Linked DNA regions of Drosophila melanogaster. The protein of the gene in region 1 purifies or fractionates together with the protein of each later gene. This does not show direct contact. Each region holds a gene or a part of one and is shown in the gene's direction. Other genes may lie near its edges. The genes, in order: l(1)10Bb, Bx42 and CG4849.

The links.
Region 2: the proteins of l(1)10Bb (region 1) and Bx42 purify together in Drosophila melanogaster (affinity purification with mass spectrometry, with the first as the bait; one large-scale study listed by BioGRID). This does not show direct contact.
Region 3: the proteins of l(1)10Bb (region 1) and CG4849 purify together in Drosophila melanogaster (affinity purification with mass spectrometry, with the first as the bait; one large-scale study listed by BioGRID). This does not show direct contact.

Annotation. Positions count from the first base shown.
Region 1 is NC_004354.4:11,323,672-11,327,340, reverse strand, and holds l(1)10Bb (lethal (1) 10Bb), read left to right. Parts: upstream 1-2,032; 5' UTR 2,033-2,155; coding exon 2,156-2,249; intron 2,250-2,330; coding exon 2,331-2,671; 3' UTR 2,672-3,047; downstream 3,048-3,669.
Region 2 is NC_004354.4:9,104,897-9,108,650, reverse strand, and holds the start of Bx42 (Bx42), read left to right. Parts: upstream 1-2,046; 5' UTR 2,047-2,203; coding exon 2,204-2,426; intron 2,427-2,693; coding exon 2,694-3,254; intron 3,255-3,319; coding exon 3,320-3,754. Other genes in the region: Arfrp1 (ADP-ribosylation factor related protein 1), read right to left, coding at 719-975, 1,094-1,346, 1,414-1,506. UniProt on the Drosophila melanogaster protein: May play a role in chromatin structure and function.
Region 3 is NT_033777.3:27,961,515-27,965,268, forward strand, and holds the start of CG4849 (uncharacterized protein), read left to right. Parts: upstream 1-1,900; 5' UTR 1,901-2,039; intron 2,040-2,165; 5' UTR 2,166-2,173; coding exon 2,174-2,287; intron 2,288-2,347; coding exon 2,348-3,016; intron 3,017-3,074; coding exon 3,075-3,166; intron 3,167-3,225; coding exon 3,226-3,417; intron 3,418-3,470; coding exon 3,471-3,754. Other genes in the region: CG31131 (uncharacterized protein), read right to left, coding at 527-1,666.

The DNA of each region.
Region 1 (3,669 bases):
AGTTGGGTGCGCCAGATCGTGATCAGTTTATATCGATGCGAAGGGGGATCTTTGTGCTCAGATACGCTAAAAGTCCCTACAGCCTGACCTTAATTCCCATTGTTTGCACCTGTGACGTCTAAAATCGCATGGGAAAGCGTATCACGCGGTCTAATTGGCGTCTCTCGAATAATGTAAGCCCAAGTAAACTGAATAACTAGTGAAACTAAGTGGAAAGTAATTACGAATTTACAGTCTGACCAGAAAAATATGATTGGGTGCGTGAAAACTACGTAAAAAGGTCTGATATTATCAGAATTATAGCAGTACTAAGACTAGAAGAGCTTTTCTTCTATTAAATATATCCAAATTATATTATATAATAAATTAAATTAAATCTTGTTTGAGGCATATAGTCGAGTTTTATAGTTCTATATTTTGCTACAAAGTGGTTCTATTTAAACGCCCCGCACTGTGTCTCTGTGCCAAGAAGCATTGCAAAGACGTCAAAAATATAGTATGATATTGGTTTTCAGCCGTTTGAACGGCTTAAGTCTTGCACGAACAATGGCTCTGCTTATGATCGCGGTTTCCATTCCAGTGAAGCCGATTTCACTGTTGCTTTTAGGCCTTGGTCAAGGGCAGACGTCAATTACGAAAGCCAATGCCCTGTCACTCGGAGCTCCACCCCGCTCCCCACCGCACGCGAAGCGCCACAAAGAGGGGGAGACAACTACAAATATTTGCGCCTCAATTAACGGCTGTTGTTATGCAGGTTACAGCGGTGGGCACTGTAATAGCAGCTTGGCATTGACTCACCGTTAAACGTAAGCAAATATCATTATGTAAAACAGCGAGATCATCATCCAATGACTTGTACGACAACTATTTTATTTGTTTATACGCATGTCTGATATATTATGAATCATATTGTAAAAGAAAATGTTTTTAAGCATACTTATTTGTGAGTATGAAGTTGCCTGTGACGAAAATAGTAGGTCCGCTTAATAATAGCCAGCTGGCTATATTATGTTGGCCGCAACTGTCGCATACGGCGAGTGAGAAAGAACTATCTACTAGCCATTGTATTTAGCTTAAATTTTATCTTATCGATAAGTGTGTGAAAGTCTTTGGCTTTTCTTAAGATAAACAATGGGTCATACGTGGGGATATTGCTTATTGGCGGTGACTGTTGTTTCATTGCACATATGTACATACTTTTAGAGCGCACAAAAAACGGGGAATTTGCAAATTAAAAAAAAAAAACAAAACAAAACTGATTTGTTGCGCTCATTACACACAACCACACACACACACACGCGCGTTCAGTGCGAATTGGGGGGTGGATATGCAATTGCAATTGTGTGGGTTGTTTAATAGTTCAGTTTATTTGGTTATTTGTTGTGCCAAGCACTAAATAATACAAAGAATTTGGGCGAGAATTGCACATAAACACACATTTAAAAAAATCAACAACAAGTAGCACAAAAATGAAAAGTAACACCAAAACGTAGGTCCGTTATGTGGGCGCTGATTGCACGGGTGGTCGTGTGGGAGCGAGAGGGCGCTAGCAATAGGCGAAGGCCAAATTGTTATTGATGTTATTGTTGTTGTCACTGATCCTTCTTCTCTGCTTGTCTCTCCCTCTAGTCACCACATCTTTATGCGCTCCACTTCTTTTGGCGACCCCCTTTTGTTGTTGCATTTTTTATGAATGAATCTCTTGCTTTTTTAGACCATTTTTTAAGTGTTACACTCACACACACAAGCACAGCACTTTTGCGCACTCACTTCGACAAATTGTTACTCGCTTTGTTGTTGGTTTTTGTTTTTATGTTAATTTTTACTTACTCCTGCGCCTGTGCTAAAAACTGAATCTAAATTACAGTGCATAAACAAACGGAACGGGAAAATAAATAAATTATCACACGCAAAACACACACACGCGTCTCCCAAAAGGAAAACAACAAAAACAATAAAGTGCTATCGCCAATCGGCTTAGACACGGCCTATCGATAGTGAGTGTTCGATAACCGTTTGATGCTGTGGACAGCCCATGTGGAAAGTGTCATCGCTAAGTAGCCAGCTGTTTGTGAAATGTTTGTTTTTCAAGCAAAATTAAGCATTTTTAAGAGAAATTAAACAGTTTTACAGTTAAATAAATTGAACATTTAAGATGCCCAAGGTTCGCCGCAGTCGCAAACCACCGCCAGACGGTTGGGAGCTGATCGAACCAACTCTCGAGGAACTGGAGCAAAAAATGCGCGAAGGTAAGGACAAGCGTGGCGGCTTCTGTGATAATGAAAACTTTACTATAATCCTATACGTATATTATTAACCTTCTTAAACAGCCGAAACGGAACCGCACGAGGGCAAACGCATTACGGAATCCCTTTGGCCCATTTTCAAGATCCACCACCAGAAGACACGATACATCTACGATCTATTCTATCGCCGGAAAGCCATCAGCCGGGAATTGTACGACTACTGTCTGAAGGAGAAGATTGCCGATGGCAATCTGATTGCCAAGTGGAAGAAGTCTGGATACGAGAACCTATGCTGCCTGCGCTGCATTCAAACGAGGGACACCAATTTCGGCACGAACTGCATATGCCGGGTGCCCAAATGCAAACTGGAAGAGGGTCGGATCGTTGAGTGTGTCCACTGCGGTTGTCGCGGCTGCTCCGGTTAGATTCCATGTGGACGCATTATTGGCATCTTTATTCGACACAAATAATCCTCATAATACATAGTTCAGTAGGTTCAACTTTAGATTTCGCCTGATTTCTTCATAGTATGTAAATACATTTAAATACAAGCCACAATTATGGTTAATGGCATGCTAAACATCTAAATAGATGCTGCAATAAACCGATTATGTAAACGACAAGGCATCGTTGGGAAATGCGTTCCGATTTGTTTAAAAAAAAATGTAGAAATGGTATGAGCAGACATTTTTGTATTAGAATGTATAGAAAAGATAGAAATTAACTTGTAGTTTAATCAAATAAATAAAGATTATAATTTATGAAAATGTTTAAAAGCATTTAATAAATTAAATTTCCTACATATGTCGAAGTGGAGTTTTGAATATTAACTTAAATATATTCCTTTTTTTATAATCTAGCCATCTCAATATGTGAGTTGTGAAAATTTCTGTAGTAAAATATGCAATTTACGTACGTCCTTCTAATGATTTCACAGCTTTTCTTTAAACGATATATACTATACATACATATATTTTAATTTAATGCCTTGGACAATTTATTGCTGCGCTGACATAATTCAAACTCAATGTCGTTTTCGGGGATGTGGCGGAGTCTCCTTCATGTGCGTCCATTTATCGTCGCCTTGCTCCTCGATTTTCAGTACTCTTTCTAAGGGTATAGTGTTTCTTTATTGTCCGAAAATGGAAGCCCTAGTTCAACATTTGAGTATATAGAAATAAGAGTATATACATATTTCCTTGAGTCATCCAATTCAGCTAGAGTATTCCGGCCATCGGCATTCCCAACTTATTCTCAAGCTGAAAACTGTCAGGCTTCAAGTGTTCCTGCGGGGTTTGGTTTGGTTTTGGGTGGCCAATTGGGATTTGGTCGAAAATGATTATAAATGGTTTTTTAATTATACTTGTCTGCATATTTTCTCATTTGCCAAACAAACGCGGCGCTGTCGATTTTATTGTTCACA
Region 2 (3,754 bases), 2.2 Mb from region 1:
TTTCATTTTCCTCCGCCTTTGCTTTTTGGTGGCACACACAGCACTTATCTATCGGACTGATAATGGTAATAATAATGCTCCCCCCGCCGTGAGAACACCACAATCCCGTCTGTTTGCTGGTTGTTTCTTTCCGCGGTTCGGTGTCGTTCGGTTCGGATAAGCGGAGCCCCATTGACAACCGCCATATCGAGGTGTACTACGAGTGCAGTGCTGTTAGATAAAGAAGCGACTCTCCCGATTTTGGTGGACCTCGAATCGCCCACACACTTTGTGGCTAACGATTAACCATAACAGCTGCGAATGGATTCAGTTTTATTACATTTTTGGCATCCAAATACCCATGTATCTGGGTTATTAACAGAACAAAGTACTTCTTCAAATACATCTTCAAGTACTTCTGAATTTATAGTTCTTGCACTTAATTGGCTAATAAGCATTGCGTTCTTTGTTATTCTAACAATAGTATTTGTAATTCGTTGTCCTATGCAGAAGTCTCACAGCTTTCTAACATTGTTTTCCTCATTTTCTCAGCAGTAGTTAACCGAAAAGAAAGGTCTTTGCAAATAATGACAACGCATCTTTACAATTGGTATCTCGCAATCTCGTCTGGCTAATTACAAATAAGCGTTATCCTAAGCCCCTAACTTACAAAAGTACATGTCTAATTAAAGCCAGTGGAGGGCCGACTACCAGGCCCAGATGTCTTCTGCTTGATCTTCTAATCGTTTTCCCGCGGCGGCCGCACCACCGCATGTCGTTTGATGGCCTCCACCAGCCACTTAATGCCCTCGTCCACGCCCTCGCCGTGCAGCGCGGATACGGGAATGGTGAGGCAATCTCGCCGCCCGATTAAAGCACCCGCCTGCTGGAAAACTGGCTTGATCTCCCGCACGCCCATCACATCCGGCAGATCCTGTTTGTTGGCCAGGATTAGCAAAGGCACTCCGGACAGCAGTTCGTTCTTGATCATCTTGTCTGTGGGGAAAGAGAATAACACATTTTAGGTGAACCTTTTTCCTTTTACCAGAGATCATCAGAATAGATCAAAACGAGTTTTGTTCAAGGGATTAGTTCGAAGACTGTTTTCGCTTACCAAATATCGCTTTGGACTCTTCCATGCGCTCCCTGTCGTTGGAATCAATCACGTAGATGACGCCATGCGACTCCTGGTAGTACTTATCCCAGAGAGATTGCAGCTCCTGCTGGCCACCAAGATCCCAGAAGTTGAGGCGTACGCCCTGCACGTCGATGGTGCCGATGTTGAGGCCCACCGTCGTCGTGATCTTGCTCGGATTGAGGCCCTTATAGTTACGCGTAAACGTGGTCTTGGCGGCCTCCAGGTAAGTCTACGTGGGCACAGGTGTTAGTTTCCGATTGGACATGAGGCTTTCATTGGATGATTCAGCTGCCTACCGTTTTGCCAGCATTGTCCAGGCCCAGGATTACCACGCAGTAGTCGTCCTTCTGAGTCATGTATTTGTAGAAGCCGTGCATCAATGTGTACATTGTATTGTGTTTTTGGCCAACAAAAACAAAAACTTAAATTGTTGACTGAACTGCTAGCGATGGCACTGCCAGCGGCTAGGGCGATGCGATAGTATCGATCGGGCAAGTGTCACTTATATCTATCTAATTATTAGGGGGATGTCTATAAATTATATTTTTAAGTATTGCACAGTTCTGTTAAGGTAATAAAAATAAATTATTCAAATTTTCTCTGATTGCCCCTGATTTTTATAAACCATATTGTAGTATTTTGATAAGAACATTCGAAATAATGGTCCAAATATGGAATGTCATACCTCGTTAAGCTCGTAATAAAATTTCAAATCAAACTGTGTTCAAAAATGCAAATTCAATTTTTTGACCATTTTTTGCAAATTTTGATGATGTTTGATGACCATTACCAATCCACTACCGATTCGCGTTCAAATTTGGAAAAAGCTATCGCTTTGTTATTTCTACCAATTTGGTTTTCTTACGTCTTAAGAAAAACGCAATATATGCAATCCATCCCTAAAAGGGACCATACTCTATAGCATTTTCTTATTAGCAGTCTGGCAACCCTACACACCCGTACGCTTGTGTGTGTCCGTGTGCGTGCGTGTTTTTTTTTTCGACTTTTCCATTATAGTTTTTGTGGCTTGCATATTGAAAAGTGATTTCACATAAGAATTGATTCGCCACAAATAACAGATAAGCTATGTCGCTATCAAGCCTGCTGCCCACGCCGACGAACGCGATCTGGGATCGGGAGGACGAGCGTCGCCTGGTCGCCCGCGGAGCACCAAAGATCGGAGCCCTGGTCTCCGCCAAAATCGCTGCTCCGCCGTACGGACAGCGTAAGGATTGGGTACCACATACGGATGCGGACTTTGGCGATGGCGGCGCCTTCCCGGAGATCCATGTGGCGCAATATCCACTAGGTGGGTTCCCGTTCGTGCTAATCCCACTTTCTCTGTGCTTGCAAACAATGTTGTCGCGGTTTTTCGTTGGTAATGGTGTCCTCGTAAGGGAAATAACCATTAGCTTCTTATATGTGGGTGATTGTACAGCGAGAAGGCTTCAATTTCCACCACATTAAGTTAAACGTTTGCTGTAGAATGTTGTATTTTTGTATTTTATGATCAGCATTTTGAAGCGTGGCTTATTCAATTGAAACAATTTCTGCGTCTTCTTCATCTTCTCGACAGGTCTGGGAGCACCAGGAAATGTTGGCAAGAAGTCGGATGCTCTGGCCGTTCGCCTGGACGACAAGGGAAAGGTTAAATACGATGCCATAGCACGCCAAGGACATGGCAAGGACAAGATTGTGTACTCGTCCATTTCGCAACTGCTGCCGGCGGAGGTGTTGGCCGAAGATGCGGATGAACTACAGCGCCCGGACGAGGAAACGGTGATGGAGACGACGGAGGAGACGCGCCTGGCGCTGGAGAAGCTGACCAACCAGAAGATCACCTCAGCGCTGCCCGTGCGCCATGCCCAGAAGGCGGGTCCCGCCCAGTACATTCGGTACACGCCCTCGCAGCAGGGCGATACCTTCAATTCGGGCGCCAAGCAGCGTGTCATCCGGATGGTGGAGGCGCAGCTCGATCCGATGGAGCCGCCCAAGTTCCGCATTAACAAAAAGATTCCACGAGGTCCACCATCGCCGCCGGCACCTGTCCTCCACTCACCATCGCGCAAGGTGACGGTCAAGGAGCAAAAGGAGTGGAAGATCCCGCCCTGCATATCGAACTGGAAGAACGCCAAAGGTGCGAGCTAATGTAAAACTAGAATCCTCTTCATTATCCTAATTAAATCTTTGCCTCGATATCAGGTTACACCATTCCACTGGACAAGCGTCTGGCAGCCGATGGACGCGGTCTGCAGCAGGTGCACATCAACGAGAAGTTCGCCAAGATGGCCGAGGCGCTGTACATAGCCGATCGCAAGGCGCGCGAGGCGGTGGAGGCACGCTCCCAGCTGGAAAAGAAGCTGGCCCAAAAGGAGAAGGAGAAGAAGGAGGATATGCTGCGTATGATGGCGCAGCGGGCTCGCGAAGAGCGAGCGGGACTACGCAATCCGGAGGCAGCCGAGCCATCTGGTTCCGGAGCTACAGGATCCGAGGTGCGTGAACGCAACGACTTGCGGGCAGAGCGGCAAAGGGAGCGCCAGCGGGATAGAAACCTGCAGCGGGCGGCTCCCGAAAAGCGATCGAAACTGCAGAAGGAGAGGGAGCGTGACATTTCTGAGCAAATCGCTTTGGGTCTGC
Region 3 (3,754 bases), on another chromosome or scaffold:
ACGCCGCGAGTTTATGGCGCGTAGGGAGCTCTCCAGGCCGAGATGTATTCCGTATCGAGTGGCAAACGATTTGGTCTGCCCGTCGCTGCTTTTAATTGCATTCTGAAGGATCTGACGGAACTGCTGCACTTCCTCCTCCGATAAAAGAGGGCTAAAGTCAAAAGAAACAACCTGTTGATTGGGTTTTTATTGGTTTCTGCCCGCCTCACCTGTGCTGTTTGTAAGGATTGGCTAGAATATTGCGCAGTTTGGGCAGCAATTTCTTTTTGCCCTTAGCTTCTTTCTGTTTTATGCTGGACAAACTCATGTTTACGATATAAACTAATAAAAAATAAAAAATTTCTGCTGAAAAATCAAACAACAATGTGTTTGGCTTTTGGCCAGTGTGACCGCGTTTCTTAGTTTAAAATAAGCCATAGCTTAAATCGCGTTGCCAATTGCTTTACGTTTTTATTTAAATTAAAACTCTTAATTTTTGCTTCTAAAAATTTTTAATCAAACTCTTAATTTTTATTTGCAATCATTTTCAGTACCAGTAAAGTTCCGGCTCCGTGTCCGAAGAGTACTTCAATTTTCTCGGTCTCTGGCGAACGTAATCTTCGACGAAATTCAATTGCCTTGGTGTTGTGGTTTCTACTTGAGTTTCTACTATTTCCGTTGTTGTTAAATTAAATCCAAATGGTGTTGATAATGTAGAACTTTCCTCTTCGGTGCTGTCAATCACTGCATCCAGATACGACGTGGTAGTTTCCACGCCCGGAGTCGTGGCAATGATTTCCAGCAAGGATGTAGTAGATTCCTGGGTTTCTGTGGTTGAAAACAATTCTTCTGTTGAAGTTTCTGCTGTTTCAGTTGTAGTTTGATCTGTGGATAATGCAAACGTGGATTCGTTCGGTTCTGTGGTAGAATCAGCAGATTCAGTCGTTGATTCCGGCAATTCTGTAGTGCTTGGATTGATTTCTATTTCTGTGGTAGTTTTTATTAGTTCTTTCTCTGAAAATTCAGAACTTAAAGTAGTCGTTGATTCCGGAAATTCCGTAGTACTTGGCATAAACTCTGTTGTTGTTGATTCCTGCAATCCTGTAGAGCTCTGAATGGTTTCTGTAGTAGTTTCTTGCCATCCTGTAGATAAATCTGGATAAATTAACGTTGATTCAGCATATTCAGTACTGTCTGAATTGCTTTCTGTCGTTGAATCTGCAGCTTCTGGACTCGAAGTTGTTGTGGAATATAGGGCTACTGATTCAGTGGCATCTATAGCATCTGTGCTGGTGACTTCCGGCCAAGCTGTTGTCGTGGAATATAAAGTATCCGTGGTTGAAGTTACATAACTAGATTCGGTGGTTGAATAATCCACCGCCGTAGTTGTAGATTCCTCAGTGGCACTTTTCTCCGTTGTAGTAGATACTTCCCCAGTGAAGTAGCCAGTAGTCTCCTGCGGATTGGTGGCCACCGTAGTTGTGTCCCAAAAATCTCCATCGAACGGATTGGTAAAATTTACGATGCGCGGCTTGTAGGGTGTGTAGATTTTGGCTTTGTAAGGCTTGTGGTTCTTGATGTATTCCTTGGCTATGCTAATCCACTCCTCGCGACCGAGAATATCGTTTAAATTTCGGCTTGAGGCCACAAAATGCGCCATTAAAAGAAGCAAACAGAATTTTCTCATTATGATGCTGATACCTTCGGTTGACACTTTCGACTAATTACCTTTGGCGACTGCAGTGCAATATAAACGCAAGGGTCTACCTACGTTTCAACGCGTATTTTAGCTACCTGCTTTCTTGGCAAAAACGTTAATTAGCCCTAATGAACTGGAAAATTCAAATGTTGCCGCCAGGGCTGCAAGCGCTTACTTTATTTGTGCTGGCAATGCCGTAGGTAATGCCGGCCGCTTAACAGCTGAGTGTTTTTCGGGGAAGAAGAAGAACAGCGTGTTTGCAGTCCGCGTTTTTGTGTAAAAATTGTGAATAATTATATTATTTGCAGTTTTCTTACGTTTTAAAGAAGAATTTAGCAATCAGAAGGTCCTGTAACAATTGGTAAGTCGGTAAAAACAACAAAAAACAAGAGTAGCATAAGTTTCGAGTCACCGTGAAAGTTTTAAATTTTCTAAGACGCCACCGGCAAATTTTGAATGAAAGTATTGATATATATATTTATTTTAGGAAAAACCATGGATTCCGATTTGTACGATGAGTTTGGCAACTATATTGGCCCCGATTTAGACAGCGACGAGGAAGATGAGCAAAGTATTTATGGGCAACCCGATGTGCAGGATGACCCAGAGGTATAAACGTGCAAAAAATAAAATAAAACTTATAATTAATTTATGGTGTTTCATTTAAAGGACGCCATGGACGAGGACGAGGTGGAGCCACAGGAGGACGAGGACAAGGAGGTGACCGCCGTGGTTTTGCACGAGGACAAACGCTACTATCCGTCAGCAGTTGAGGTCTACGGCCCGGATGTGGAGACCATTGTCCAGGAGGAGGACGCCCAGCCGCTGGACAAGCCGCTTATAGAGCCAGTGAAGAAGCTCAAGTTCCAGATCAAGGAGCAAGACATGCAGGAGACCACCTACGACATGGAGTTCATGGCCGATCTCATGGACACTCCGCCGCTTATTCGCAACGTGGCTTTGGTTGGCCACCTGCACCACGGCAAGACCACCTTTGTCGACTGCCTCATCCGGCAGACGCATCCGCAATTTGAGACCATGGAGGAGCGCCAGTTGCGCTACACGGACACCCTGTTCACGGAACAGGAACGCGGCTGCAGCATCAAGGCCACGCCGGTCACACTTGTCCTGCAGGATGTCAAACAGAAGAGCTACTTGCTGAACATCTTCGACACCCCGGGGCATGTCAACTTCTCGGACGAGGCCACCGCCGCCATGCGAATGAGCGATGGTGTCGTGCTGTTCATCGATGCCGCCGAGGGCGTCATGCTCAACACGGAGCGACTGCTCAAGCACGCGGTGCAAGAGCGCCAGGCTATCACCGTTTGCATAAACAAGGTGAGGGTTTGGCCTTAAGGTGACACTAAACTTTCTAATGGTTTCCTCTGACGTGCAGATTGATCGCCTCATCCTGGAGCTGAAATTGCCGCCCCAGGACGCCTACTTTAAGTTGAAACACATTGTGGAGGAAGTCAATGGGCTGCTGAGGTGATTACGTGATTCATACTCAACACTAATGATTTTACTAATGTGTAATTTTCTTACAGCACCTATGGCGCTCCAGATGACAATCTCTTAGTTTCGCCTATTTTGGGCAACGTGTGCTTCGCCAGCTCGTTGTACGGATTTTGTTTCACTCTGAAATCCTTTGCCAAGCTGTATGCAGACACCTATGAGGGAGTGGCTTACCTGGACTTTGCCAAGCGGCTCTGGGGTGACATGTACTTCAACAGTAAAACGTAAGTGCTGCCTAAATATCCAAATCATTTGCTAATACCAACTATTTTAATAGGCGCAAGTTCTCGAAGAAGCAGCCGCACAATTCGGCACAGCGCAGCTTTGTGGAGTTCATTTTGGAGCCCATGTACAAGCTGATAGCCCAGGTGGTTGGCGATGTGGACACCACTTTGTCGGACACTCTGGCCGAGCTGAATGTGCGCGTCTCCAAGGAGGAGATGAAGTCCAATATAAGACCACTGCTGCGTCTCGTCTGTAACCGCTTCATGGGCGACTGCAGCGGTTTTGTGGATATGTGCGTGGAGCACATTAAATCCCCTTTGGAAAATGCCAAGCGAA